Linked DNA regions of Kluyveromyces lactis. The protein of the gene in region 1 interacts with the protein of each later gene in a pairwise test. Links are inferred from orthologs where the notes say so. Each region holds a gene or a part of one and is shown in the gene's direction. Other genes may lie near its edges.

What was found.
Region 2: the proteins of CDC45 (region 1) and TOF1 interact in binary tests that used the Saccharomyces cerevisiae proteins (3 or more experiments, as listed by UniProt). The link is inferred for Kluyveromyces lactis from reciprocal best matches to the Saccharomyces cerevisiae genes CDC45 and TOF1.
Region 3: the proteins of CDC45 (region 1) and MRC1 interact in binary tests that used the Saccharomyces cerevisiae proteins (3 or more experiments, as listed by UniProt). The link is inferred for Kluyveromyces lactis from reciprocal best matches to the Saccharomyces cerevisiae genes CDC45 and MRC1.

Annotation. Positions count from the first base shown.
Region 1 is NC_006042.1:1,832,149-1,842,350, reverse strand, and holds CDC45 (DNA replication initiation factor CDC45), read left to right. Parts: upstream 1-5,341; coding exon 5,342-7,336; downstream 7,337-10,202. Other genes in the region: REA1 (AAA family ATPase midasin), read left to right, coding at 1-2,669; tRNA splicing endonuclease subunit SEN2, read left to right, coding at 3,368-4,477; LCL2 (Lcl2p), read right to left, coding at 4,652-5,056; KLLA0_F19800g (uncharacterized protein), read left to right, coding at 7,653-8,207; SAC6 (fimbrin), read left to right, coding at 8,651-10,202. UniProt on the Saccharomyces cerevisiae protein: Required for initiation of chromosomal DNA replication. Acts at the origin of replication. Also has a role in minichromosome maintenance.
Region 2 is NC_006039.1:183,443-194,007, forward strand, and holds TOF1 (Tof1p), read left to right. Parts: upstream 1-5,640; coding exon 5,641-9,129; downstream 9,130-10,565. Other genes in the region: SLP1 (Slp1p), read left to right, coding at 1-1,233; KLLA0_C02233g (uncharacterized protein), read right to left, coding at 1,466-2,932; AVT2 (Avt2p), read right to left, coding at 9,165-10,562. UniProt on the Saccharomyces cerevisiae protein: Forms a fork protection complex (FPC) with CSM3 and which is required for chromosome segregation during meiosis and DNA damage repair. FPC coordinates leading and lagging strand synthesis and moves with the replication fork.
Region 3 is NC_006039.1:30,379-40,715, reverse strand, and holds MRC1 (chromatin-modulating protein MRC1), read left to right. Parts: upstream 1-2,541; coding exon 2,542-5,319; downstream 5,320-10,337. Other genes in the region: ADF1 (Adf1p), read right to left, coding at 306-656; ribosome biosynthesis protein KRR1, read left to right, coding at 1,140-2,132; VAC17 (Vac17p), read right to left, coding at 5,386-6,768; L-serine/L-threonine ammonia-lyase CHA1, read left to right, coding at 7,575-8,708. UniProt on the Saccharomyces cerevisiae protein: Required for normal DNA replication. Phosphorylated in response to DNA replication stress. Phosphorylation allows it to mediate the activation of RAD53.

The DNA of each region.
Region 1 (10,202 bases):
GCAAATCGACTTATATCTTCTCGAATATGCTATACAATCTCGCTAAAGATGGATTCTGTTCTCCAGAGCCTCCTTCAGAAGAGACCGAAGATAACAATTTGCAGGAGGGTACAGGTCTTGGAGATGGAGATGGAGCTCAAAATAATAGCAAAGATGTTGAAGAAGATGAGGATTTGTTAGAAGATGCTCAACAACCGAACAAGGATCAACGAAATGACAGCGACGAAGACGACGAAGAAAAAGAAGATGATGCTGTTGAAATGGAAGGCGATATTGCCGGAGACCTTGAAAATGCATCTGATCAAGAAAACGAAGAAGAAGATGATAACAACGAGGACGATGAAGACGAGCTAGATGAAGAGATTGATAATCTTGACGAGGATGATCCTAATGCATTGGATGAAAAGATGTGGGAAGAGGAAGCTGAAGATGATTCTAAAGAGAAGGATTCCGAGAACATGCCTGAAAAATCTAATGCCGATGATGTACAAGCATCAGAGGAACAAGCAGAAGATGATGTCAAGCCGGAAGACCACCAACAAAACCAAGAAACTGATGAAATGGAAACTGAAGAAAAAGATAACGATGATGACGGTGAAGAGCAAGAAGAAGAGGAAGAAGATGTTGGAGAACAAGAAGATGAAGTTAGAAATGATGAAAACGAGAATCTCGAAAATAACGTCCCGGAAGTAGAAACAATGGACCTACCAGAGGACATGAATTTGGATTCTGACAAAGATAATGAAGAAGATGGCTCTGAAGAAGAAGAAGAAGATTTCGAGGATAAAATGGAGGTAGATGAGGAGGAAGAAGAAGGTAAGCAGCCAGAAAATACAGAAAATGAACAAACGAACATTGATGAAGAATCTGACGCTGATGAAAACCGCGAATCAGATGAAGACGTTGATATGGATGGAGATGATAATAGTGAAACCGAAGAGGCTCTTGATAAAGAGGATGATACAGAGAAACCAGATATCAAAGAAGAAGCAATAGCAGATTCAGACAGTGAACTTGAAAACCCGCAAGATGAACCAAAACAAGAAGGAGGTGAAGATGAAAAGGGTGAAGATGTAGAGGGCCTCGACGGATTAGAGGGTGTAGAAGATGACAAAGATCAAATAAATACAGATGCTGCTGTCGAACAAGATTCGGGTGCAAAGGGTGAAGGCTCTAATGCAGCTGATTCTGAAGAACAACAAGATATTGGTAGTTCTGGTAACGCGCAATCGCAAAGCCAGGAAAACAATCAGGAAGAAATCACAGATACATCTCGTAAAGACGCGCAAGAAAGCTTAAAGCAATTAGGTGATTCATTGAAAGAATTCCACAGACGCCATCAAGAAATCAAAGAGGCTTCCACCAATTCTGAAGAGCAACAGCCTGAAGGCTCCAACCAGAAACCTGACGAATTTGAACATGTCGACGGTGCCAATACCGAGACTGATACGCAAGCGTTGGGATCTGCTGATAAAGATCAATTAACTGGGTTCGATGAGGACCTAGCCATTGATGAAGATTCAAACGAAGAAAAAGCTGAACCTGAAAATGAGAATGATGAAGATCAGAAACACCCAACTGATGTGATGGACATCGATGAACCGGAAGTACAAAACGGTGATATTGATAATGAAGAGAATAACGGGAAAAGCAAGGGAGCTTTCATTGGTGAAAGAAATGCTCTTGAGAACTCTGGCGCTTTATGGGATCAAAACGACATTGTTTCTGACGAAAACGATATCGACCAAATCTTAAATGAAGTAGACAACGAAGTATCAGAAGAAAATTCTGTTGCTGTGGCCCCAAGACCATTCGACGAAGCCCGTGAACTATGGAAGAGAAGTGAACAAGAAACGAACGAGTTGGCAGCCGGTTTAAGTGAACAGCTACGTTTGATTCTTGAGCCTACTCTTGCCACAAAGTTGAAGGGTGATTACAAAACTGGTAAAAGGTTGAATATGAAGAGAATTATTCCATATATTGCTTCACAGTACCGTAAGGACAAGATTTGGTTAAGAAGAACAAAACCAAGTAAGCGTCAATATCAAATCATGATTGCAGTAGACGATTCCAAATCTATGAGCGAATCAAAATCTGTCAATTTGGCTTTCCAAAGTATCTGTTTAGTCTCTAAGGCTTTAACTCAACTTGAATCCGGTGGTTTATCTATCGTGAAATTCGGTGAAACTGTAAGAGAAGTTCACCCATTCAACCAACCTTTCAATACCCAAACTGGTGCTCAGACTTTCCAATGGTTTGATTTCCAAGAAACAAGAACCGATGTCAAGAAATTGGTAGCTGAAAGTATCAAGATCTTTGAAAGAGCAAGAGCTATGGAGAGTAACGACCTATGGCAATTGGAAATTATCATCTCCGATGGTGTTTGTGAAGACCACGAAACATTAGTAAGATTGGTTCGCAGAGCAAGGGAAAATAAAATCATGCTCGTTTTCGTTGTCATCGATGGTATTAACTCTAACGAATCAATCATGGATATGTCTCAAGTGAACTATATTCCAGATCAATTCGGCAACATGAAACTATCAGTCCAGAAATACCTAGACACATTCCCATTCGAATTCTACGTTGTCGTTCATGACATTACCGAACTCCCAGAAATGTTATCCATTATCTTAAGACAGTATTTCTCAGAGATGGCATCCATGTAGATGGACAACATCACGTCAAAAACCTAAAAAAAAGTATAAAACTGTACAATAGATCTTTAACTAGATACCGTAATAACAATATCAACAATAAATAAAAATATACCAATATTTCATGGTACTAAACTATTTAAAGCCCTAACCCAGACCCGGCTCAACACATAGAATCTCTGCCTCCTTAGAGCCCGAAATGTATAGAAATTGTCCGTTGTATGTGATACTGACATTTCACAAACGTGAAAATTTTCATTTTTCAGTATAAAAGGCCAAAAGCGATGAGCTTGGAAGAGAAAAGATATGTTTGATGCCACATATATAAGTATTCTGATCAACCAAAAAATAAACCAACTGTAGTTGATTCATACAGCCAGCATACTTACTGTTCATAGATTCCAGATGGAGTGAGCGGTAAGATATGTTACCTCTGTGGATATTTTTCTTTTTTGAAGGGCTTTTTCTTTATATATGATGATAAACCATTTTAGATGTCTCGAAGAATTTATTTCAATGTGAGCACACGATTTCTCAATAGACTACAACGGTATCTGATTTGTCCTTTCTCTACTCTAATTCGTACCCCTCTTAGTAAAATATGTAAACCTAATATCACTCCTTAACTCTGTACTGCTTATTCGAGTTTTTAGTTATTGAAACTTAATTCTTTTGAATTAGAGATCAGTTATAAAACCATATTTTGTCCAATGCTAATCTCTCTTGCATGTTTAGTAACTATATATGAAGACCGCGGGAGGCAAGTACTTACAATGTCGAAGCGATCTCATAGAAATCAGCTGCAATACAAACATGCGTTGCCTATAGAGGCGCAGCCTGTACCGTCTGTATGGAAACATCCCTTTCAGGCATTTTCCTGGATATTAGATTGGGCGATGAGATGGAGTGAAACCAGAATTATTGACGTCAAGATCAACCAATTAGGTCAAATTTTGGTATGTGATCAATGGCAGATGAAGTATTTATGGGAACACGGATTCTTTGGTACTGGTCAACTATCTCGGAGTGAACCCAACTGGCAGGCAAGAACAATGTCTCGATTGCAACTAAATGATGCTGATCGAATCAACTTAGAGCATGTTACAGACGTTAGAAGAAGGCAGCGGCTCGAATTCAAGAAACTGAGAGCTGAATTTGAAGCCAAGAAGTTAGAAATGAGACAAAAGGGGATTGTAGACGAACAATTCATTGAACAAGAAAGGTTATTCTTAAAGAATCAAAGAGATAAAGAATTAGCTTTTGAAAAGGACTCGATGCAAATACGTGACGAAGATTTAAGATTAATAGAAGGCAAATCAGTGATTCAACTAGAAAGCTTGCAATTGATGCCCGTCGAGGCTATTTTCCTCTCTTATGCAGTGCCGGTATTGAAGATCACATTGCAACAATTAATGGTTTCGTTGGTACTGGAACCGAAAAGTTTCCAAGACATCAAGAAATTAATTCATCAATATGTCGCGTACCATCATTACAGGTCCAAAGGGTGGTGTGTACGATCGGGGATAAAATTTGGTTGCGAATACTTATTATACAGAAGAGGACCCCCTTTCCAACATGCGGAGTATGGAATCATGGTTTTGGATGCAAACCAGTCAAATGATTACACTTGGTATTCAAGCGCTGCCAGAGTCGTGGGCGGAGCCAAGAAACAGTTTGTATTATGCTACGTTGAACAACTCATACCTGAAGATGACTTAATGGAACTTTGGAAGCAATCAAAGTACGATGAGCTTTTCAGAAACTTTAAAATCCATGAATTGTTATACAAAAGATGGGTTGCAGGTAAGAACAGAGATTAACTGTTCCGAACCGGTAACGATCTTTTCCGCGAAGAACTCAAACGAGTAAAAATAAACCCATGCTAGTTAATTGCATTAAATACAGTAATGGTCTGTATTATATGTCTCTATATATATTATCAGTTTATGTTTGTAATAGTATTATGGCCGATACAGAAAGAAAGATCTCTCATTCTAAATCTTGCCGTCATATACATCCAAGATCCATCCACAATCTCTGAATCCCTCAGTACGTTGAGCTGGTCCCATTACTGGATCATCATAAATCTCTACCAGTGTTGGATCATGTGTTGCTGGCTTTGAGATGCAAATTACCTGACCGTTGGGTAGATTGCATTTCAATTGTGAATTAGGGAACGGACACGCACAATCCGACTTCTGTCTCACACAATCCAATGTCTGTGGACATAAATAATGCGGACAGTCATTATCTAGGAACATTTGCTGGTAAGAGCCAACATCCCGCTGTTGCTGCTGTTGCTGCTGTTGCTGTCTATTCTGGTGACCTGAATCGAAAAAGAATCCAGACACAGCTTGTAAAAAGAATGCTGAACCAATTATTGTTCCCAGTAGTTTCATAGTAAGTTAAGATCTTCGTATTTCGTAATACTGCAATATGAAATATCAGATAGCAGTGTTTAGTACCTATAGTCTTGTAAATCTTGGCATCTCTTCGAATATTTCGAATATTTCGCATGTATGCCATTTATGACAAGTAATCGATTTTCCAAAAATCTTTAAACGTGTAAGTATTCCAAACCAATATTTTAAAGAAATTTATGTAAATACATGAGATGACTAGCTCACGAGGGAAAAGAGACTGCAAACAAAACCACTGCAGGCCATCAAAGTGCCAGGTAGAGGATGTATATTGGCATTGCTGAATTTGTGGGTGCTTATGATAAAATTCTTCACCGATGCAGTTCTCATTCTTCATGTCAGTTGGTGATTTTTGTTTCGTGTTTAAACATTGACGCGTTATGTGCATCGAAGATGCTATCCAGTCTATTCAAGAAGCAATTGGTACAATCACAGTTAGTTCCCGTGTTTGGTTATTCGGAATTGAAGGATCACTATCAGAGACTGGACGAAAATATCAATAGCGTTATATTTGTAGGTTGTGGAGGGATGGTAGATCTTGAATCTTTTTTAGAGATTGATCCACAAGAAAACACGCAGGGTCCATTAGATGAGATTCAATTAGATAAGACTGACGTTGTTCAGAAATTTAAGAAGGAGATATTTGTGCTTGATTGTCATAGACCGTGGAATTTGGATAATTTATTTGGTTCACAGTGCATAACCTGTTTCGATGATGGAACAGTCGAAGAGTCTTTGACAGAGCAAAAGAAAGCATACTACAAACTTATAGAGATAGAGAACGAACTTGGCGATGAATTGGACGATGACAGTGATAGCGAGGAAGAGGAAGATGACAGGGAAACGCAAAATGAGGATAAAGACGACGATGACGATGACGATGACGATGACGATGACGTAGTATTGGGTAAAAGGTCCAGCGATGAATTGAATCCAAAAAAATCACATAAACAACGAAAGCGAGAGTTTCACAACTTAGAAAAAGTGTTACAGGAGTACTATTCACAGGGATCAACGGTGCTGAACTCCCTTTCAGTTCAGATATATTCTCTTTTGTCTGGTATTGGTGAGACAAATCTAGATTATTTATGGTTATGCATTCTAGGAGTGTCCTCTTTGGATAATTCCTTCCCGTTGGTATACAATCGACTATTACCACTTCTGAAAGATGAAGTAAAAAGATTGACACCTAGTGAAAAAACTAAAACGCCAGATTCTTTGAATCTTGAGATTCGTCCCGATTACAGTTTATTCCTTCTGAGGCATACATCCTTATATGATAGTTTTTATTATTCTAACTACGTCAACGCCAAACTGTCACTGTGGAATGAAAATGGCAAGAAAAGACTGCATAAAATGTTTGCACGCATGGGTATTCCGCTGAGTGTTACACAGGAAAACTGGATATATATGGACAATAATTTCAAGAGAGATCTGGGCGTACTTTTCGATAAAAATCTCGATAGATACGGGTTACAAGATATTGTACGAGATGGGTTCTTGAGAACTTTCGGTTACCGAGGATCAATAAGTGCCAGTGAATTTGTCGAATCGATAACCGCTTTACTTGAAGTTGGCAATGCTTCAAACGCACTAGAAAATTTGACAACAGCTAATGTATCTCAAAAAGATGATACGAACCAAGGTGATGAAGAGAATAGGGAGTACGAAGAAGCTGAAGAGCAAAAAATTAACAGAATACTGAAGACAAGGCAAAAAAAATGGATTGCAAATTTTTGGTCAAGTTGGGATGTATTGGACAATAATATGGATATTTTATCTCAGGGGATTAAGCATGCAACATTTTTACAAAGAAGTGTATTTGAAACTGGAGTCGCTATTCTGGAGAAAAGATTAGTGAAACATTTAAGGATTTACAGGCTATGTGTTTTACAAGATGGACCAGATTTGCATTTATATAGAAATCCATTAACGTTATTGAGGCTGGGATCATGGCTCATTGAATACTATGCAGAAAATGACGAAAAACAGTTACTTCCACTGGTATTGGCAACTTTAGATGAGACTTCTGACACATATCTTTGTGCAGGGATTGCGCCAAGGTACCCAAGAGGGTTGGACATTTTACAACAACAACAGCAGAAAACTTTAAATAATTTCACAGTGGCATTTCAACAAATAGCAGCTGAGACAGGTGCCAAAGTAAGGATTGACAATTTCGAGACATCAATTATTGAAATCAGGAAAGACGATCTACAACCATTCCTTGAACGTTTGACATTAAGCGGATTGATTTAGCACGAAGACACAAACATATTAATTTAGGCATATCATGAGGTGAGCTTTCGGCTTTAAATCTAATATATATATATATATTATGTAACAATCTAATCAGATACCTCGAAATTGACACTACTATGGGATGTCCAAGCTGTTTGAAATCTGTTAGGTTTACCATTGATATCACGTGATCATTAAACCAATGCCACAAATGTCAGTCAAAGGTAAGCATTCTAAAATACCCACAATAATTTGTCATAATTATAGGCAAAATGTTGCCAAGAACCAGCCTTCAACCCCTCAACTGTAGCTGTTCAGGCTCTTAAGTTAATACATGGAGCACAACATAGATCTTCCGCGTCTGCCACCCTGGAAAAGCCCGCAGTTCCGCAGGATCAAACATGTCAAACACTCAACAGATGAGGATTTCAACGTTGGGATGGGCACATCGGCAAATGTATTCAGCGACTCTTCGCTCTACACTCCGTTGAATTACAAGAATGAACGCAATAGAAACAGGGATATGAATGGGAAACAAAGGGCACCAGGGATATCTGAAAACACTCTCAGTTTCAAATACGATCCGTCACCTTTCATACTCCATGATAATATACTAAACAAGACAAAAGTGGATCAATTGCAACAACAAGAGGTTGCCATGAGAAGACTTTTTGATAAAGATAGAGCAATACCTGAATCCAGGCTCAATGTACCGTATTACCAAACGCTATGGAGAGAACAGCTAGATTTAATGGATGATGACATGCCAGAAACAAGTCCGAAATTCGATTACTCGAACTCATCTCAAGATCTATACAAACAGCTCCGGCAGTTCCAAACAGCATTTGTCCAAAATGAGGCGTGGAAGTACGAGGAAAACACTGAATAGCTGGCTAGTAGTATTAACTCCTGTGACTATTTCATCCCTCACAGCTCACAAGATTATTCCACAGTGCGGAATATCCCAATATATCTAATGCAAATAGACTGCGACAAGCATAAATAGCATACGCAAATGGATAGACGGACGATGAAACCCGTGTAAAGCACCGTATGATCAGACTGCTGAACCAGGAGGCTTGTACTGGCTTTAATTCCCTTCAATTATCATAACATACGAACATCACATACTCTCTCCTTTTCCATTTCCAATCGAAAAGCCCTTTAAAGAATAAAGTTTAACATGGTGGAATATAAAACATAAACCTTGAAAGCCGTATTCCACGCCCGAAACAAGAAAGGAAGCCCTCGTCTTTCCTTCTGCCTATACGGTTTACAACTTGCAGTATTAGTGCAATTGATTGGAATCACAGCAATATAAACTGATCAATAATGAATATTATTAGATTACAAAGAAAGTTCCCTGAGTTTTCTCAGGAAGATCTCTTCGAAACGATAGAGCATTTTCGAAACATCGATCTAGAGGATAAGGGCTGGGTTGAAAAACCTCAAATTTTGGAATCCATTTCCAAGTCTGGTGTTGCATCTTATGATGAAGCTAGGGAGACTTTGAAGACCGTTGATGTAGATGCTTCGGGTCATGTTGAATTGGAGGATTACGTGGAATTGATGGCAAAATTAAGAGCAAACGGTTCATCTCAAGGTACGCAACAGGACGAAGACAATTCAAAGGGGTTCCCACAAACGAGCTTTCCTAACATTTCCGGTCAGAGCAACCGTGCACCACCGGTTCCAACTAAACCTAAATCGATTGGTTTGCAACACAAAGGTACTGGTGAGAAAGCTCAGATTATTGTCGGTGGTTCCACTTCTGGTACCACCCACACGATTAATGAAGAAGAAAGAAGGGCTTTCACTACACATATCAATTCCGTGCTAGCTGGGGACGCAGACATTGGTCATAGGCTTCCTTTCCCTACCGATACTTTCCAATTATTCGACGAATGTAGAGATGGGTTGGTGTTGTCCAAGTTGATTAACGATTCTGTCCCGGACACCATCGATACCAGAGTGTTAAACTGGCCTAAGAATAACAAGGCTTTGAACACTTTCACGGCTTCCGAAAACGCCAACATTGTGATCAATTCCGCTAAAGCTATCGGCTGTGTTGTGGTTAATGTTCACTCTGAAGATATTATTGAAGGTAAAGAACATTTGATCTTAGGTTTAATTTGGCAAATTATTAGGAGAGGTTTGCTATCCAAGATTGATATCAAATTACACCCGGAATTGTACCGTTTATTAGAAGAAGATGAAACTTTGGAGCAATTCCTAAGACTACCCCCAGAACAAATCTTGTTGCGTTGGTTCAACTACCATTTGAAACAAGCTGGGTGGCACAGAAGGGTCTCCAATTTCTCTTCTGATATCAAGGATGGTGAAAATTATACTGTATTATTAAATCAATTGGATTCAAATCTATGCTCATTGGGACCACTACAAACCACCGATTTGCTAGAAAGAGCAGAAGAAGTTTTACAAAACGCTGAAAAATTGGAATGCAGAAAGTATTTGACTCCAACGGCATTAGTGGCTGGTAATCCTAAATTAAACTTAGCCTTCGTTGCTCATCTATTCAACACTCATCCTGGTTTGGATCCATTGGATGAAAACGAACCTATCGAAATTGAGGATTTCGATGCAGAAGGTGAGAGAGAAGCCAGAGTTTTCACTTTGTGGTTAAATTCTTTGGAAGTAGATCCTCCAGTTGTGTCACTATTCGAAGACTTAAAGGATGGATTAGTACTTCTACAGGCATATGATAAGGTTATTCCTGGATCTGTAAACTGGAAGGTAATCAACAAGAAATCATCTGACTCTGAACTTTCACGCTTCAAGGCTTTGGAAAATACTAACTATGCTGTTGATTTAGGTAAATCTAGAGGATTCTCTTTGGTTGGTATTGATGGCTCTGATATTGTCG
Region 2 (10,565 bases), on another chromosome or scaffold:
GGAGCTGTCTCTATTCTTTTCGAAAACAAGGACAAATCACTTCTAAACCCATGCTCCGTTCCGAATAAGTTTTTTGTGGTTGAGTTATGTGAGGATATCTTAATTGAAAGCATTGTGATGGCTAACTTTGAGTTCTTTTCTAGTACGTTCAAAAATGTTAGATTCTCCGTGGCAGAACGATTCCCTGTACCAAAAAATGGCTGGAAGGTTCTTGGAGAATTTGAAGCTGAGAATATTCGTAATACTCAACAGTTTACAATTACGAACCCAATGATCTGGGCAAGATATTTGAGAGTTGAAGTTTTATCTCATTACGGAGAGGAGTTTTATTGCCCAATCACTCTCATTAGGGCTCATGGTATTGCAATGATTGATGAATTCAAAATGGAAGTCCAAAACGCAGGCGAGAAACTCGAAGAAGTGGTCTCAATTGAGCAAAAACTGGCGGAGGAAAAAGAAAAGTGCATGATACCAAGTTCATTCTTAACTAATAACATGTCAATAAACTTTGACCTAGACATCAACCATCAGTGTTTAGCATCCTTAAAGCACATGAATTTTGATGAATTTTTCACTGGTTATAAGGACAATGAAAATATCACTCAAGCAAAAGATTCATCTTCATTTATCCCGATAAATACCGAAGAATCAATCTTCAAGAATATTATGAAACGGCTTTCAGGTCTTGAAACTAACGGCACTATGTCTATTCTTTATATCGAGGAACAAAGCAAATTATTATCGAAATCCTTCGATAAATTAGAAGATTCATATAGTCAACAATTTGAAGCATTGGTTAAAGCATTCAACGAAACTATGACCTCGAATCTGGAGAACCTTAATCAATTCGCTTTGCAGCTTAGAGAAAGTTCAATTAAAATTATTGAAGAACAAAGATTGGCTACGGATAAATTTATCTCAACAACGACGAATAAAGTTGAGGAACTCGAAAATGCATATCAACACCAAGCTCGAGTTATGTATTTAATCCTTTTCGGTCTAATTTCGTCGATAATATATATTTCCCTGACTAGAGAATCCTATTTTGAAGAAGAAATGGTTGATGATGGTTGGTATACCGACAACTCTTCACTTCAAAAGCTCAAAAATAATATAAAAAGATCTGTGTCAGAAACAAAAGGCCATCCGTACACGGAAGCTGCTCATTACTCACCTATATCTTCCGACTCTGAATTTGAAGATGAGGACAGCATCGTAATACCTGCCAAATAATATGTTCTGTCTGTATTGTTCTATAGCTTTTATAGCATACCTATAATTCTGGAGAGATCTTTGATTTTAGAGTCAAATTGTTCTCAAAATGTGAATGCGCAGAACAGATGAGAGCAAAGATCTTAGTCATAGACAAATTCAAGGATATCATTTGTTAAAGGAGAACTGATTTAACCGTATATATTTTACACGTTTTCTATCGACTATTCAAAATTGTAAGGTAAGATATTCTTTAAATGTTCGGAGCAAAATCTGAAGATACACACTTTCGTAGTGGTGTCGGTAATCTGAGTGCTCGGGCATCTTTAGCCCTTGGAACGTCCACTAAATCTAATTCGTTATCTATAGATGATGCATCAGAAAGACTTCTTTTCGCTGAAAATACCGAAGCAGGGGTCCAAGGAGATGTTATTTCCGTAGACGACGCTGAACGGCTTGAGCCATGTAGTTCGTTATTTTTGAGAATCTCTTCCTTTAGTTCATCAGAACTCGGAAGTAAAACACTCTGATAAATTTTTAGCGGAAGCTCATCACGAATAGGGCCTTGTTGGCACAGCTCCAAGCCCACCATTATATCAGTGACCATATTTATCTGTTCGAGTAATCTTGTTCTATCATAAATTGGATTAAGAAGCGCCTGTGTTAATTTGCATAGATGGAGATATTTATCGATGTTCTGACTTGTATAAGCGGTGATATAGTCTTGCAAACAAATCTTATCATATTTGCTCATTAATGCCGTGGGTAGATCTTTATTTGCCGTTAAGGGTTTAAAAATATCATTCAGATATAGTAAGCAGCACCTTCTTATATCAACATGTGTGTTCTCGTCCACTCTTAATAGTGGTGCACATATTATAGAAAAAGGGTCTTTCTCCTTGCAAGAGCTAACGACACTATGATGACACACGGTCAAACCCAGACTCTCACATTTCAAGTCTAGAAAGTCCAGCAACAAGGTGGATATGTGCTTTTGAAAACAATTATCTCCTAGAAGGACAGAAGCTAAAATGATACCAGAAGTAGCTTTAACTGATGATGAGAAAGCCATGTAGTGTTTGTCATAACATGATAACTCTGCAAAAAAGATTGAAACTATCTGTAACATAGAAACGTCTTCTGTAGGCCATATTATATCGGTATCCTTGAAGCACAATTGAATGGCGTCGAAAGTTGTAAAGCATGTCCGTATGTTCCAGCGTAAAGTTTCCAGGATATGAGATTCCATTTGAATGAACATGTATGAATCATAAATGTGAGAACATGCTGAAATCAGTTGGTTTAAAGTTGGCGTCCTGGATTTTTTGTCCTCAAATTTTGCCGCTATCCATAAGGAAGTGGTTGTAACAAGCTGGTAATGTTTCTGAAAGACAATTCTTTTAGAACAATATCTGTCCATAATTTGTATTGCCAAGAATAAAACGGGTTCAGATAATCTGAGAATGCCATGAAGATCAATAAGGAAGTCTAACAAGTAAGGCCTCATGTACCAGTCTAGTTCAGGTTGATTATCTATCATTTTTGGGTTAGGTAAATCGCACTCTTGGAGTTCTTGGAAATACGCTAGTAATTCCTTCTCATAGTCCTTTATTGCGGTAGCACAAGCGCTAGATTCCAATTGAGCCAGCAATGGATGTGTAGATCTTGGTCTAGGCCTTGGAGGTCCACAACGACGGATGCCTGTGTCGTTTAAATACATTTGATATCTTTCGGCCCGTGATTTCTACCAATGCACTTTTGCCGATAATTACAAGGTCAGATATTATGTTCAAAAGAGCGAATAAGATATTTCGAATATCAACGTATGCTCAAAGCCAAAAAGAATGCTAAGTATATTAATTCAGAAAAGTCAACTAATCTCAGAATATATCAATGAATATCTTCTCTTTTTATGACTGATGCGTTTGAAATATTATTTCCTGAACGTGATGGTGTTTGACCAGCTTAGAGTTTTCCTTCAAATTGGTATGAATAATGTATAACAATATATGGAAGCAGTACCTGCTCCTTGATTTGGGAACCCTGTAAAAGTAAGAGCAGCGGTTCTCTTGAGTTTAGCTCAATTTTGAAGTGAGTTGCTCGTGAAAGACCTGCGACAACTCTATTACTTTTTTCTTTCACTTTTAAACCTCGAAGAACCCGGTCTGAAGATATGGAGAAAAGCCCGTGCAAGAAAATGTTATGTCGAAATATCGAGCGTAAAACGATAATAGGGTGGCTAGTGAACAAAGGCGGAAAAGAGAACAGTGAGAGTAATTTTGGTCCAGAAATTTAAAACAAAATATACTGCTGTGCGCTAAAAGCTATGCACACCTAAAGCCACTTCCCGCACCCCAATTTAATAGTCAATTGCAGGGTGTTTGCTTTGATTTCAGTTTGAGTTTCGGTGTAAACTCTTGTAGATATCTATTTGAATAAGATGCTTGATCAAGATAATGAAATATTAGTGTAGAAGGTTATATTAAATATTCAGGATGAAATAAAAAGAGCCCTTATTGTCGGGTATTATCAATTTAATTATTAACCTTAGTAGAAAACAAGGAGAACAACTGTTAACTTTACTGCTGGTTGTTTGGCCGATAAAAAACGACACCACATCTAGCACTAATGGTGTGTCTTGGAAATATATGGTAGTGATCACTATTACTAGGTCCGGGTAGCTGTGTTGTTTTAAGCTAGACAATAACTAACTACCTGTGATTGTCCCGTTCAAGTGTAGGTCGCCTCTCCCTTCAGGAAAACCCCACAATCACATTATCAAAAAAACTTCAATGTTGCTAAGCATCTGATCCTATTGTCCCCTCGTAGTCGAGCGGAAAACTTCGGTTATGAATGGAATGTGTTCCACACACTTCGATCCTGTTTATCCATAGATGCTTTCACACCTTCTATGATAAAGCTCAATCGATGCTGTGGTTGACTTGTAGGAAACCCGTTGTCAATCGATACCGCAAACTTTAAAAATTTTTCAGTTTACCATATTTGGTAATACATAGTAATGTTTTACCACACATAGTATAACCATATCGCAGTCATCATAGTGGTCTGAAGGAACAAAGCAAACACCAATCACACAATTCTTCCTCAGATAGCATTATAATCCTGAAATTTTCCTTGTAACAAAACCATCTAGCATTGGTCCTGTTTTGAACGTTCCATTTTTTTTCTTTCTTCACATTCTTAATCGACTGTTCTTTGTCATACTCTTGTCTACTTGCTGCCGTAAATCATTTTAAATAACTTGTGCGCAGTGCAACATAAATCTTACGTTTATCAAAGGCAGCAAAGGCATGGCATAGGTTCTATTCTACTTCCGTAGTTAATAATTGAGAGCATATTTCAAATATATTTTTTGCCTCAGAAATTGGAACAATGTATCTCCCCGCAATGATCCTATACCACGACACAAGATCACATACCCGGTATGTATAATCCCCCAGCACTCAGTAGACATATTCACCTCCCTCATTCATGTTCTCTACATTTGAAAGTTAAAACCTCAAAATCAAATTTCAGATCGATGAGTTAAAAAAATGGAAAAACCACAGATTAATGCTTATTGATCTTCATTGACAAATGAGACATCGCAAACCGGACCAACCATCTTTAACACACTATTGCAGTGTTTTTGTCTTTTTTGAGGAATTTCAAAAGCTTTTCCACTTATGTCTGCTCTTCATTAACGGAGAATGTCGTCACATAAGCCGAGTGCAATCAGAACCCTTATTTTTTGCTTTTTGTACGCTTTATTTACGACCGTTCCTAATACGGTCATGAAGATCGAAAAAAAAATATGCAAGATTATTTCTAGATTGACACAAAGGAGAACAAAGTAGCCATAGGAGCAGGTATAATACAATTTGATCAAATATTTTAATATATGGCTTGTGTTTGGTATCAATCTACTTGAAATTATATGGTGACTGCTACTATTCCTTTAGTTTGGTATGAAAGCTCAGCTTGAAAGCAAGAACAGTGAGTTACTTTCCCGCATGATATTTGGACTTTCGTCTCTGTTTCGTCGTTGGGAGAACAGTAATCTAACTAAAATGTTACGGAACTAATATTTAAAATTGAAACTTATCAATTGCTGATAGTGAGGCAATAAAACAGTGCTTGTACCGTGTATTGATAGGGGGGGCGAAGAATTACAATTTTCAAAATCACGTGATCTGGTTTTGTCTTACTTTTCATAGGAATCAATTCCAATCGAATGAGATTTTGATCATAAAACAGCTTTCAACAGTTTTACGCGTTTGAACAAAAGGATGAATATTCGAAGGGCTACCTTAATCAAGAGGGCAAATTCTTTCCAATTTGACCAATTTGACAACGAACATAACTAGTATTAGTTGAGAAAACTATTAGAAAACTTCTTTGGGTTCGTAGCTTTGACAGAAGGTAACTATGTCAGAACCCGATGACGTTGATACTGTGAAGGAGAGACTGGCAGAAGATAGGCAAAACATACATATTCAGAATGAATACCAGGATATTTCATACACAATCATTAAGGCAAGAATTGGTATGTTAGCCACGGCAATTGGAGGACCAGATCACTCTGTGGACTCCGTTAATCCACCTTATAAGGTAGGTGATGATTGCTTGGCTTGTATTAAGGATTTGATTCGTTGGTTCAAGTTAGTTGATGATAACCAGAAGAGATGGGATGTAGAAATGGCCACAGCTGAATTCAAGATCCTGCAGAATGATCTAATACCTATTCTATTGGATTGGGAGGCAAAAAATAGTGCTGCTACTAGGAAAAGTAAAAAAACAGGTGAAGATATCTCGATTTTCTTCCCGAATAAATCATATCATGATAGAATCGCTCTAGGAGCGTTGCAACTTATGGTGTTGATGACATGGCCCTTAATCATAACAGATCAGTCATCGTATAACCAAGTGAATTATTACTTTGAGCTGAAAAAGCATCAATTGCTGTATAAGCATGCAATTTTGACAACAGAAAACGGAAAGGTTCTCAAGGCAGCAATTAGATTAGCCCTGAACGTCATGAGTGTGGATGTAGATCATAGGACTGCTAGGGATGACTCTCTGATACGAATGGTTCTTAATTTTCTAAAAAATGTGGTGGCAATAGAACCAGGTGAAGTTACAATATCCAGTGTCAAAAGATTGAAGAGACCTTTGACTATGGCTGAAATGTTACCAACGAATATTACCGTTGATGATATTTCCATAAATAGTGTCATAACCGCATTTGATAAAAATAAAGTTTTTGGCTTTCTTCTAACAGTGGCTAGTTCTTTGTCAGACGCTGTTGACCCAAATTTCGTTAGTTGGCCGTTGTTAGAGGTCATGTTCTTCTTAACAAAAGATATTAACCCCATCCGATTGTTCAAAAACCAGAGAAAATCTTATAAATTGGGTACGGATCACGAGATTACAGACTCCAACATGACAACGTCAGGTAAACACCTTTCAGAATTACTTGCAAAGGAACATGAAAAGAAGCTTAATGTAATAAAGAATACTTCTTCTCGTCATTCTAGATTTGGCGGTTTATTGTCTATACAGACACCTCAAAATACGCGATTGACAATTGCTAGTAATTCTGTCAACATGCGTGATGATGCGGCATTACAAGAGTTAGACTCAAGAAAAAAATGGAATAAAACCATCACTATGAGACTCGATGTTATTGAAGGACTCAGTAGCAGCTTTTTTAGTACTGAAGGTAATTCTATTTACATGTCTTCTGACAACATTACTAGCATAAAAGAGTTTTTGGCAGATTTTGTTGATTCCAGTTTCAATTTGTTATTGCAAAATGCCACAGATAGTTTTACGAGTGAAATTCAAGATCAATTACCATTGCATAAGATTGAATACATGTTATTCATTTCGTGGTTTGTGAAATTCCAGAGATCACGGTGCATTTATGAAATTGATGCTACACCGGATTATGTCTCAGGCGCATTGTTAGATGAGTGTTACATTCTCTTTACAAAATATTTGAGAGAGAGTTATGAACAAAAGAATTGGCCAGTGGTCCATGCGGGTATGCTATTGTTCACGGAATACTTGGAGTTTTTATTATCTCTCGACCAATCATGGGAGGCAGATGTTCAAGCTGTGATAAGTAAGATTTTGAGCGAAAATATGTTGCAGCTATTGGCATCTCTCCCAAAATCTGCAACCAGTCATTCTTCACAATATGTTAAAGCTTGCATTAATTTAACACATGTGGTTTTGAAAACAATTGATAAATTTGATGAGAACAGCTCGTTGACTGTGGAGTCAAAAAGGAAGCGTAAGGTGAACCTTAATCACACAGCAATTGAAAAGTATGCAAAAGATAATGATTTAGACTATGAATCAGCCTTTGATATATTAGAAGAACAATTTAAACAAGTGACCATAAACTTTGATAAGGTTTTTCGCGGATATCTGACAGAACCAACGATATCAACTTACATCAGATATCTACAGTCTTACAAAGAACTGGAGGACAAAGACCTCATAAGGGTTCTAAAATTCTTTCAGAGAGTGTTTGTCAAAGCGAAGGAAGAATTATTTCTATTTCGAATTGACTTCATGATATTATGTCGAGAAATTCTAAGTCAACAAGGTCTGCCTACAACTTCTGAGCTAAGAACTCATTTCACAAAATTCAATGAGTACTACCTTAAGCAGCTCAAAAATAAACTGAAGAAAATGCCTTCTTTGTACATCAATATATTGTTCCCAATGCTCCATGACTCCCAAATATCATACTATATGAGACATGGAAAGATGAAGTTGACTGAAGGTACTCCTGACATAGTATTGCCCAGCACATTTATCAATATTCCAGATGAAGGCTCTCTTCCTAAAAAAGTTTTGTTAGATATGCAAGTTGGAATCTTGGTTTCTAGTCTTATCGATGATGGATATGAAGATTTGATTGAAGCTTTGTTGCTTAATTTACAGTCAAGTTTCGATGGATTGAAGGGTAAGGTAGCAGAAGGCATCAATTCACTAGAAGAGGAAAGAGTAAAAAAAGTTGCATTCAATGCTACTAATTCTGAGATAAAGAGGGCCTTATACCAACAGCCCGAATTCAGAAGGCTTTTAATCCTTGCTGGTTTTGCAATTCCGGAAGCTAATCAACCTGCTTGCTATTTCATTAATAATAAAACTCCTACTGAGGTCCAGTTGGTAATTGAAACTATACAAAAGCACAGGTCTCTTCCATTTGAATCTGAAATTGGAAAACCAGCTAGTTATTATTTATCGTCACATTATCAAGAGTATGAAGACCCTGAAGAATACGGATCAGATTTAAACAATGGAAGTTACTTCGAAGATTTAGAAATCATGGATAAGCGAACAGAGGGACGCGAGCTTTCAAAAGGAAAAGCGCAATCCAAACTTGTTCAGAGATCCAAAGGGAAAAGAAAGGCAATTGCTCATCATCCGGAAGAAAATGAATCAGATTTTGAAGCAAATGCAAGCAGCTCCACCAAGCTTCCAGTCGTTAGTAAGGAGTATATAATGGACTCTGACGATGAGGATCCCGACTTCGGCGCAATATTCTTCGAAAATGAAACATATCTGAGACAGCTCCTGGACAAACATAATGGATCGCTGACTGAAACGCAGTTCTCCCTTTTTGCTCAGTTTTGTGAAGAAAGGGTTAAAAATAATGGACAATTGAGAAATGATTACTCTGCTCTTTTTAATGAAACACCGAAATCACCAATCTTCTCCGACGTAGATGCCGAAACTATCATCATTGGAAGTGCCTCGCTTCCATCTTTGGCAAACGAGCCCATAGAGACCCAAGTTGTGAGCTCTGAAGAATACTCATCACATCCACTTGAGGAAGAAGTAACTTCGGAACAACGAAAGCGTAAAAAGCCACGCATAGAATCAGATACAGAATATTAGCTAACACAGCTGCTACATACATAGTGCTATAGATTTTACGCAAACGCTTCTAATATAGTTTGAGCGGTGCTCACGAACATGAGTATAACACCAAATACAATACAACCGCAATAAGGTAACTTTTCTTTCAAGGATTTTTTTTTTCCTGTTATAACCAAATTAGTGAGTGGAGGAAGTATATATGCCATGAGAGAAGCGCTTGTTGCTCCAATGATTTCTAGAAGTGCACCAAGATTAGAAGTTGATAAAGCGATACACATTATAATCAAAACTAAACCAGACGTTATGAGGGCATGCATTTTTGTCGTTAACTTTACTGGTTCAGGGTCGTCTTTGTTGTAATATATTATGTCCCTTATCACATCTCTCAAAACGAAGATTTCCAAAGGAAACGTAGTAAGCATGTTAAATCCCAAAAGAAGTCTGGCAAAATTAATCACATTATCATCAGAAGGGAAATTATTAAGAATATTACCCACTGTTTTGTCTTTAAAGTTAAGGAACCCAGAGTAAGCAGTTGTTAAGCAAACGATGCAAGAAAGAATTAAACTGACATGTGTCAACTGATTAAATCTTTTTAAAGAGGGATTTCTCAACGAGAAAAATATAAAACTCGTGTTGTGATGGCATACTAACGCAAATGAAATCACAGAAATGCCTTGAAATATCCTTGGTGTAATAAACAACTGATGTAAATGGAAAGTTCCTTTATATTCGCCGCTTACTAGTGGAGCTTTAACAACTATGATAATAACAATTGCAATAAGTCCTAAAAGTGCAAGCATTGATGTCTTTGAAAGCTTGGAGATATCCCTGTTAAGAGATAGCGGAAACGATATGAACAAAGTCACCAATGTGATAATGACATTCCGATGAAAAAGATCTGTATGAGAAGGGAAAAAGGCGCTCAAAACATGAGGTATTGAATCTCCAATGATAATGCAAAACCCAACGCAACCACCAAATGCAAATAGGCCGTTGGATACTAAAATCAAAAGTCCTCCCCATTGACCCATTGCTGTTTCTACAGATGCTTGATAAGTACTCTTACCGGTTAATTTCAAATTGATCACAATCAGACGAATGGTCCAATCAACCAGTATGGACATTAATATGGTCGCAAATAATCCGCCGATGATTCCGCAATTTTTCATCGCAAAAGGTTGCCCTATCACTCCTGATCCTAAAATACTATTCGCCATGTTCATGAAAGCCATGTACCTGTTAGATTTTGCCTCATTAGATAAATAGATGTCATCTGTTAATGGGTCTTCTTCATTAACATTAAAAATGTTTTGGTCAACTGCGCTGTCAGCTGTCTTCGCGGTGTCATCAAATGACGTTAACTCCAGTTCAAACGGATTTGGTTCATTCTTCGATTGTTTATCAGACAGAGCTAGTTTTGCATACTTTTTATCAGCGGCTATCTGCATCTG
Region 3 (10,337 bases), on another chromosome or scaffold:
TTCACAGGCGCACTCCCCATTTCCAAACCGAAAATAATTTCAAAATATTGGGTATTTATCGTCTATCGAAAGGGATGTTTTAGTTGTTTATACAAAATAGAGATGTATATAAAAAAAAATTGAAAGACTAAGTTGTTATGTACACCTATTCGTTGTAATTCCATGGGCCACTTTCTCAAATTACGCGATAAAGTCCATATCACAGACCAATATGATTGGTGATAAGCATACAGTGAGTGTTTTTCCCTTTATAAGATTAAGGTTATCAAATGCAGAAAAATAAAAGCGTGAACATAGGGCAAGCGTTATAGAGAAAAGCCGGATATCAGCTCAAGCTGATCTTCAATTTTCTTTTCAGTAGCCTTCTTTTCTTTATCGTGCTTCTTTACTACCTCTTTGTCTTCCTTATAATGCTCTCTGACCTTTTGACCTTCAAGACTGGCAGATGACCTCGGTTTCTTTTGAGCTTTATTGGGTACAATGTCCGCTATGCTCAAGTCAAGCTTGTCTAACTGTCTAACTTGCATTTGATTTTTCTTCTTGTTAGATTTCATATTGTTCTTCATGCTATGCTTTTTAGAAATCTTATTATCACTATGATTGAAAGATGAGTTACCGTTCTTCCTCGACCTAGCATTATCCTGTTTCTTGGCCATTGCGAATTATGATCCGTTAAAGTTCGAAGATCCTGCAAAAAAATCCTATCCAACTAGTACAGAAATGATTAGGATGAATGGATACTATAGCACCTCAGCAGCTGCATGCAAGTGCATAAATGTAAACTCTCCTCAATCTTCGATTTCAGAAACTGAGCAACGATTTGAACCATCGTCTTCGTTAAAAAGAAATTATGATGCTCCGTCTGTGTTTCTTGTTTACTACTGCACGAGATTGCAGTGATAATGAAATTGGCAAAGGAAAAAAAATAAAAATGGAAAAAATAGTTTCGAATGAATTATAAGTGATGCGATGAGATGAGATGAGATGAGATGACATGGCCTCACTGCACCACATTGTCTTCAGTATCCGCTTATAAAACCCTAGTTTAGCTTGAAGCGTACTAAAGGCCAACAGACAATTTTGCGAACTCACAAGTATCGGAAAAAGAGGTAGATATTGATTTAGTCGTGAGTTGAAAGATGGTCTCTACTCATAATAAAGACAAGCCTTGGGATACGGACGAGGTTGACAAATGGAATATCGAGGAGTTTAAACCCGAGGACAACAAGTCTGGCCTTCCTTTTGCTGAAGAATCCAGTTTTATGACTCTATTTCCAAAGTACAGAGAAGCGTACTTGAAATCAGTTTGGAAAGACGTTACGAGGTCTCTCGATGCACATCATATTGCATGCGAATTGAATTTAGTTGAAGGTTCTATGACTGTAAAGACTACAAGAAAAACGTATGATCCAGCAGTAATCTTGAAGGCTCGTGATTTGATTAAACTTTTGGCCAGATCTGTGCCATTCCCACAAGCAGTGAAAATCCTAGAAGACGATGTTGCCTGTGATGTTATAAAGATTGGTAACTTTGTTTCTAATAAAGAAAGGTTCGTGAAAAGAAGGCAGAGACTAGTGGGTCCTAATGGTAACACTTTGAAAGCCTTGGAGCTTCTAACAAAATGTTATATTCTTGTCCAAGGTAATACTGTCTCAGTAATGGGACCATATAAAGGATTAAAGGAAGTACGCCGTGTCGTCGAAGATTGTATGAAAAACGTACATCCTATTTACCATATCAAAGAACTCATGATAAAGAGAGAACTTGCTAAGAAGCCTGAGTTAGCCGAGGAAGACTGGTCTAGATTTTTACCTATGTTCAAGAAGAGAAATGTTGCAAGAAAGAAACCAAAGAAGATCAAGGAGAAGAAAATATACACACCATTCCCACCTGCACAATTACCTAGAAAGGTTGATTTGGAGATTGAGTCCGGTGAGTATTTCTTGAGCAAGAGGGAGAAGGAAGTCAAAAAGTTACATGAGCGCAGGGAACAACAAGCCGCTAAACACGCTGAAAAGGAAAGCGAGAGAGCCAAGGATTTTATTGCACCAAAAGAAACCGACTACAAAAGCTCAATTTCAAAATCTACAAAGAGCTCTTTAGGAGACAGGAAAAGACAGCGTACCGATTAAAGCGCTAGTAAGTATTTTATTATATAATCGCGTTTCCATCCTTTTCTCATGACTCAAATTAAGAAATATAGTTTTAAGTTAAGTTTCAACCAGTTGCTTTGTTCAAAAATCGTCCCAGTAGACACTTTACGATTATATTTATGGACCACGTATACGCTTTTCACTAACTATCATTCATGCCAGCAACGTTCTTGCTTTTCCTTATGTCAAAACCTGCGGTGTGACAAAAATATAGTACGTACGATCAAGAAGGTTTTTTGAAAAGAAAAATGAGAAAACGCGTAAATATTTAAGGCTCGCAGCCCAATCTTATAAGCACGATAATGTTACCAGGTAAGGCATTATTATAACCGTTTTATTAAAGGAATTCAACACCTTGCAAACACTTCGGCACATTATCAAGTGCAGAATGGACCTACTAGATGATTTGAACGTTGGCATTCATAAAAAGAAAGGCAAAACATATTCTAAAGCGAACGATGCAGAAGATGAAGAGCTGAACGTGGGAGAGCACAAGTTTCTAGCAGAGAATCTGCTTGAAAGAGTCAAAAAGAGACTAAATGGAGATTCAGATGATAGCACTGCTTCGGCAATTGATAACAGTAAAAAAAGCACATTCTTCTACAGTGATACCGATTTGTATGAAGGTAAAGAGTTGGACGATGAGTTTGAGGCAATGCGTGAAACTGCTGCAGTACCAAAGCAGCGTGAAGTGGAAATCCAACAGAAAAAACATCCAATATCTCAGACACAATTAATTCCTACATTCTCTTCATCTTGGCTGGCAAAGACTCAAGTAAATACTCAGGCACTGGAGGGCACCAACAGAACCATTGATAGACAACAGCAAGATTTAGACACACAATTGAACAATGAGGAAATTACACAGACTACACCAGATGAACACACTCTTGATAAAGCTGCAACCGAAAGTAAATTGCTGCACAGTAAAGAAACTTCCTTTCGAAATACTTCGTTTACATTTAAGTTGACAACAAACAACAATGAAGGACTACTGGCAACTAAACCAAATGGAACTCAAATAGAGAATGAGCAAAAAGTGGTCGCTACTCAACTTGATGTTGCTGAAAAGGAGAAAGCCGTGCCTCTTATAAAAGATACTATAGAAGAACCACATTTACCTGTAGCACCATTAAAGGCTGTCCGAAAGAAATACCTCCCTGAACAGTTCATTGCAGCTTTTGATGATTCGGAGTCATCCAACGCAGAAGATCTTTCAGATGAGGAAAATGATGCTGATGAATTGAAAGATATGGCATCTACTCAAGAGTTAGTCACGAAACAGAAGAGTGTTGTTACTAATATGAATGGGATTATTGCCATTACTATGAAAAATAGTCCACAAAATGTTATTGAACTGAACTCTTCGTCCGAATCTGAAGATGACTATAAATCACAATCGTCCAAGGCAGCATTATTGCTGATTAAAGCTAAGAGATCCAGGAATAAGGCTACTAAAGCAAAGAACATGCATGTTTCTACAGTTGACTCTTTGAAGGAATTGTTTACATCTTTGAAAACAAAGAACAGAGACCAGATACTTGAATTTAGAAGAGAAATATCCGGTAAAAAAGGAATATCACTTGAAGCGATTGAAGATGAAAAGATTCAAGTTGAAAAGCTTCTAGAGCAAGAGCTTGAAAGGAATAGGAGAGTTAAACTAAGAGAAAAAAGAGAAAGAGAGAAATCAAAAGATACGAGTAAAGCTGCATCTTCTGGTAGCGCATCCGATGTCCCTGATAGCGATGTGATGGAGAGTGATTTAAGCTTATCAGATAGTGATGTCGAGCAGCATTTAGGGCTACACGGGTCCACTGGTTCAGACGAAGATAGCGCGGATACATCGGCAGCCCATAAAAACAACAATCCTATAATAGATGATGACGAGAGTTCTTCGTCAAGTGATGATAATGAAGTCACCCAGGAGCCGATTGGCATCAATTTAGGGCATTATGGCGATAATTTAACTTCCTCAAATGTAACGGAAAATGATGGTGCTGATCAAAGTGACAGAAATGTGCCTTCAAATTCAGAACTGAAGATGAACAGATCACATTCAGCGAAATTATTGGTGGGAGAGTTAAGTTCCGATTCCTCAGTAGACTCTGATTCCTCAGAGGACGAGCTCGACGAAGTAGAAAGGAATAGGCTTCAAGAAAGGGCTAAAATGCGCCGAAGAATGGAAATAGAGGCAGCAAAAAAGCGGAAGCAAGTACTTAAATCAACTGGTCTCAACAAAATATTGGAAATGGAAGCAGAAGAATCTGAGGATGAATGGCATGGTGTTGGTGGTGCTGACGGAGAGAATTCAGATGACTATGACTCAGATTTGGATACCATGATAGATGATTTTTCCAAAAGCAAGTTTGATACCGCTTCAATAAGAGAAAGGTTAGCCTTAGAGAACAAAGAAATGGACGAAAGGATGATAAATAAAATCTTACATGATATCAATACCGGAGGCTTTCGTAAACGTGGCCGAGGAGCACTAGATCTTGAGTTAAGCGATGATGAGGATGAGTTACTACGACAGTTTAGGGAAAAAAGAAGAGAAATAATGAAACAAAAGCTACTAGAAAATGTGGACGGTGTAGTCAATAACTCAAAATCAAAAGCCTTTTTCGATAGTATGGTGGAAGATATAACTAGAAAGTCAATCCCTGCTGTCACATCATTCAGCAATACTCGAGATGAGATGGGAAAGAAGAAAATTGTCATATCAGAAGAGTTTGTTCAGAGTTCATTATCGTTTTTAAGTGCAAAAGATGATGATATCAATGAATTTGAGGTCACTGAAGCAGCACATGATGCAACTGAGGATTTGGAATCTTTGAAACAGCGAAGCAATATTAAATCTCTCGATTCCCCTCAAAGGAATAGAAACTCCGCCTTCTTTGATGATGTGGATGGTACATCTCTGGACTTCAAATTGCCCAGCATCGTAAAGTCTTTTTCGTCAAACTCAGATGTTAATGACAAGTTCAAAACGGGGATCAAAACTGTTACTATATCTAAATCTTATAGAGTAGCCTCTGGTTCTCGATCTGCCATCACTTTCTTGGGTAAAAAGAGAAAATTGAAGGCACCCCAAGGCCGAAAATCCACACCGTTGGTACGCAAACCAACATCTAGCTTGTTTGACTCCAATTCCGATAGTTTCACCTGACCCATCCAACTAATATGTCAATTTCATTATAAAATCTCTTAAAATTACATTTGTATAATCATTATATCAGAAGTTAAATTCAGTGTTCAATGCCTCTTGAAGTTCATTATATGAAACAGTACAAGTTACTAATGGGTCATTTAGCCCACGGATGAACTTTGCGCCATTCGGTCCTATTACTATCGATGTAGAGTAACTGTTAGAGCTTGAATGCCGTTGTCGATTTTCCACAATGGGTCGTCCACTCGATGGAGACGAATTATCAGGATTTCCAATTTCTTTCGTTACTAGAGAGTCCGAATTAAACCACTTTTGAAAAATAGAGGATGCAAATGGGGTTGAGTTGGACGAACTGAACCATCCTCTATACTTCTTAGATGGTGGAGCTGTTACGAACTGGCTCAACATATCTTTTGATAGATGCGGTGACCCGATAGTTGGCGAAGCGGTTGAATTCGAAGTACTACAGCTTATTGTTGGTTTTGTGACGATGGCCTTTTTCTGCCAAACAGATTGGTACGTTGGTCTCATTATTAGGTTAGCTGGAGTTGAAGGTGATAGAATTTTCCTAGAAAGAATGCTTTCATGAGAATTACAGCGCCTTACCTGTTTAGATGGATATTGATCTTCATTTTGGGATAGATAATATGATATATTTGGTGGGGATACCGATATTACGGTTTCTTCATCACTAGCATCTGTATTTACATCATCAAAAACTGACAGTGATAAACGGTTTTTGTTTTTGAAGAATTCCCAGTCCGCATTCTTCTTTGCTCTACCATTCAAGCCCACATCATATGATTTCGCCATTCGAAGAGTTTTATGTTCTCGGGAGAACATCTGCGATTCCAGTAGTGTATCCGGCATTGGTGATCCAGGTAAAGAATTGGCTCTTTTTACAGAATGCAAATGGTGCAAAATATCTAAATCATCTTCTTGAAACCTCACATTTCTCTTTGCTGGTAGTGACTGATTGTGTTCTTCCTTTTTCAGCTGGGATAGGCTTTTTTTCATTGGAGAAGTGCCTATTAAAGAATCCCTGTTCCTTTCAATGATCTTCAGGGTTTTCAAAGGGATAACAGATGATTCTTTACTGGACCCTGAACGAGCTGATTTTGTAGGACTTTGATATGCCCTGGCCACTTCGTTTAAACTCATTGTTATATCTTGAAATTCGTAGATCAGTTTCTCCAAAGTCTCATATTCGATACAGACATCATTTGGATCTTTCCTTTGGTGACGTAGACTTTCTTGAACATGCTCAGCACGTAACTTCAAAGAGCTTAGTCTTGCCAGGAATGAATAGTACTCCTGTACCTGTATAAAACAGTGAGAATTGTTTGGATCAAACTCACACATCTTTCGCTGGATGGACAGCTCAAGTTGCATAACGGCTTCATTACACCGGATAACTAGCCTCTCGGCTACGTACCTCATATCTTCCATTCCTTTCGAGTAACAACACTCTTCTAACTCTTAATTCAGTTTCACCCCCCCTCTCACTAGATCTCTTACTTACAAGATGGTGTGTTGTGCTGTATCTATGCTGAACAGACAGATAAACTGTGTATGGGTATGGCTATTTAGTCAAAAGGAAAAAAAACAGTCCAAAAGAGACAAGAAAAAAATAATAAAAAATACACTTCTAATGATTATTTACTCAGAGCTGTTAAGAGAATGAGAACATGCTTATACCAGTCTGAAATTTAAATTGAAACAAAAACGGAGAGATCTTCAAGTCAGTAGAATATGTCCATTATTTCGCTCTTTGTCTTGTTACTAGTTCCTCATTTCTTCTTACCTTCTAACCATCTTGAACATCAAATCTAATCTGGCATGGTGTATTGTTTTCTGATTTCATATTTTTTTTGTCTCGAGAACAATGAGATGAGCTGCCGACAAATTTGGAAAAATGTTTCGTGGTTTGCCTATTTTGGAGGTCTGGGGTTTTGGGCTCTCAAGATCTCATTTTTTGGGGACCACAGAAGACATCTCTACCAACAGAGAAAAACTTAAATAAGATAGTCCAAATATCCGGATATATATTTCCGTAGTGGATTTGTATTTGCATTTGTCAGTTTTTTTGTACCTGTATTATAAGGAAATGACAGGCATCTCAATGCTTCGTATAGATAAGGCAACCATCTAATGCTCGGTTATCTTTCATAGCAGGGACTTATATATTTAGGGGGGTGTGCTGAGATGATCTCTGAATCCAATCTTCAGTTCGACCTCTTCATCTTGAAAGCTAAATGTATGTCCATATCTTTCCAACTTCATATAGTCAAACGAGTATTAATAGATTAATAATGAAAGCCCAATTGTTCAGCAAAACACCGTTATTGAAACATCAATTCAAAAGAAGTAAAGGCCCTCAAGTGCTTTTGAAGTATGAATTTTTACAGCCGAGTGGTAGTTTCAAAAGTAGAGGTATCGGACATTTAATCTCTACAAAGGTAGAAGAAATAAAGAAATCCTCGCCTGAAAAAATCGGTCACGTGTTTGCTAGCTCTGGCGGTAACGCTGGATTGGCGGCGGCGGTTGCGTCCCTCGAATTGAACGTTCCCTGTACAGTAGTTGTGTCGAATGCAACACGTCCAAGAATTATAGAAAAGATTCGCTCCTACGGCGCAGATGTTGTTGTTCATGGTAACCATTGGAAAGAGGCAGATTCTTTCATGAAGGAGCACCTTATGAAGAAACTTGATTCCTTTAAATACGAGCCAATTTACAGCCATCCTTTCGATAATCCGCTAATTTGGGAAGGCCATTCCTTTATGGTGGATGAAATCATGGATGTCTTGGCTAGTTCAAAAATACCTATAACCAAAATTAAAGGTATTGTTTGCAGTTTTGGAGGCGGAGGTCTATATAACGGGTTGATTTTGGGTTTGCAACGGTATAATTTAGCTGACAAAATTCCGATAGTATGTGTCGAAACGAAGGGAACAGACGTATTGAGCGCCTCTTTGCGTGTAGGAGCACCAGTGGAGTTTGAAAAAATATCCAGTTGTGCTACTTCACTAGGGACAGCAACCATATCAACAACGGCTTACCAAAATGTGAAACGTCACGGAAGCAAGTCAGCTGTCATCTCTGATACTGAAGTGATTTCAACTTGCCTTCAATTTTCTAACGATACCAACATAGTTGCGGAACCTGGGTGTGGGGCAACGTTATACTTCGGGTATAATATCGATAAACTACAAAATATTCTCGGTTCAGACATTAAAGATGATGATTATGTCATCTTGATCGGTTGTGGTGGGTCATCTACAAGCTTAGAGGATCTTAAAGAGTTATCTAGTTTTACTAATTGTGAATTTGAGCTTCCTTCTACTGGTGTGAGCCGTCTGAATTCCCATTCGTTACACACACTCCAGTAGTGCGAACTTAAACAATGTGGAAGATTTTCTTCTCAAAAGCAGGAGAAAGCCATATATAATTAATTGCAAAATTCTATCAGCTAAAGTGTCCTACTGGTATATAATGACCTTGGATCGGGAAAAGAGAAAAAAAAATACTGGCTGACTTCTGGTTAAATTTACTATAAATCCGGCACTGTGAGCTCATTGAGCTCCGCAAAGAGTACAATGAAATTCATTTTATAATTTGGACTTTAAGTAAGCATGTTTTTATAGATACCGCAAATAAAGTTGGTTTTAATGCAGTCAGCCCAAATGGAACAATTAATCATTCTTTCAAAAAGAATAGTGCTTACTGGAAATTATTAATTCTGAATTATTATAATAATTCTGAATGAAAATATGATAATAACAATCGGCCGATAACGAAGAATAAACTATTTAAATAGTATTGTTAAAATAAAATTTATAAATTGTCTTTATTAGGAATTTCAGACTATTATAATGGTGAAACATAACGGCAGTTTATAACCTTGCACAAAGTTTCATGGCTGTCAATAGAACATTTTTTCTGAAAGAATATATTCCTGCTCACCGTACTGAAATATATGCGACTCCAAATAAGTATGGTACATTTATAAAAACATGTAAGAAAGGTCTTGTAAGTTCGAACTGCTCAGAAGAAAAAATTCTCTTATGTCAATATTCTTGGGAGTCTCACTGGTATAAGTCACTCCAAAACGTATAATTAATACAGCGCTGAAATTGTGAAAAATTGTATATCATATCCGAAGAAAACCTTTGAATGTGCAAAACCGAGAAAATGCCTACATACCTTTAGAATTTTGACTCCCATTATCTTAAAATTTTAACGAGAAAGAATTATAACTAACTAAGTTAAACTATTGTAATTGTCACCTCTAACACTTCTTTGTACTATTGGACTGGATGCCATTGAGAGTCGGTAATAAGGACTTCGCTTAGATGGTTAGTAGGCTTCGGGAAAAGACCGCAGGGCTTAAAGGAATATCAATTGAATCTAGGAAGAACATAGTCATTAAGTTTACAGCTCAACTCCATTTACCAACATAAGGTATCTCTTCTTATGAAATGTATATATAATACGATTAATATTTACTGTTTATTAATAGTTTATTCTAATTAACTTAGAATTTCCCCAATCTATAAAGACATACATATTGACTATGAGTTATTATAAATTATACTTTTCATAAATTTAACTGTAAAATAAAATATACACTTGTACCTATGTAAATTGTATATTGATAATAAATACTCTATATTTTTATATTTAGGTAAATAACTGATAAATTACTACTATTTTTTGGAGTTCAAGTTAAAATATTATCTTGAATAGCTATCATTCAATCTGTAGATCTTATATGTTGAGATACCACTAAATCCCTTCTATCATTTCTATTTTTAATTTTTATTAATAGCTAAATGACTGTCAGCTTCAATAAATCTAACATATCAATACATGCCAATAAATGTCACTCTGACTTCGTGGCCAACAATGAGGTATTTTGGATGTTGGCTTTGATGATTAGTATACGAACTTTAATTTATCAAGGACATCATTTACGATGTTCTCCTTGGTTCTACTGTTTAACCTTCATATTACCATAA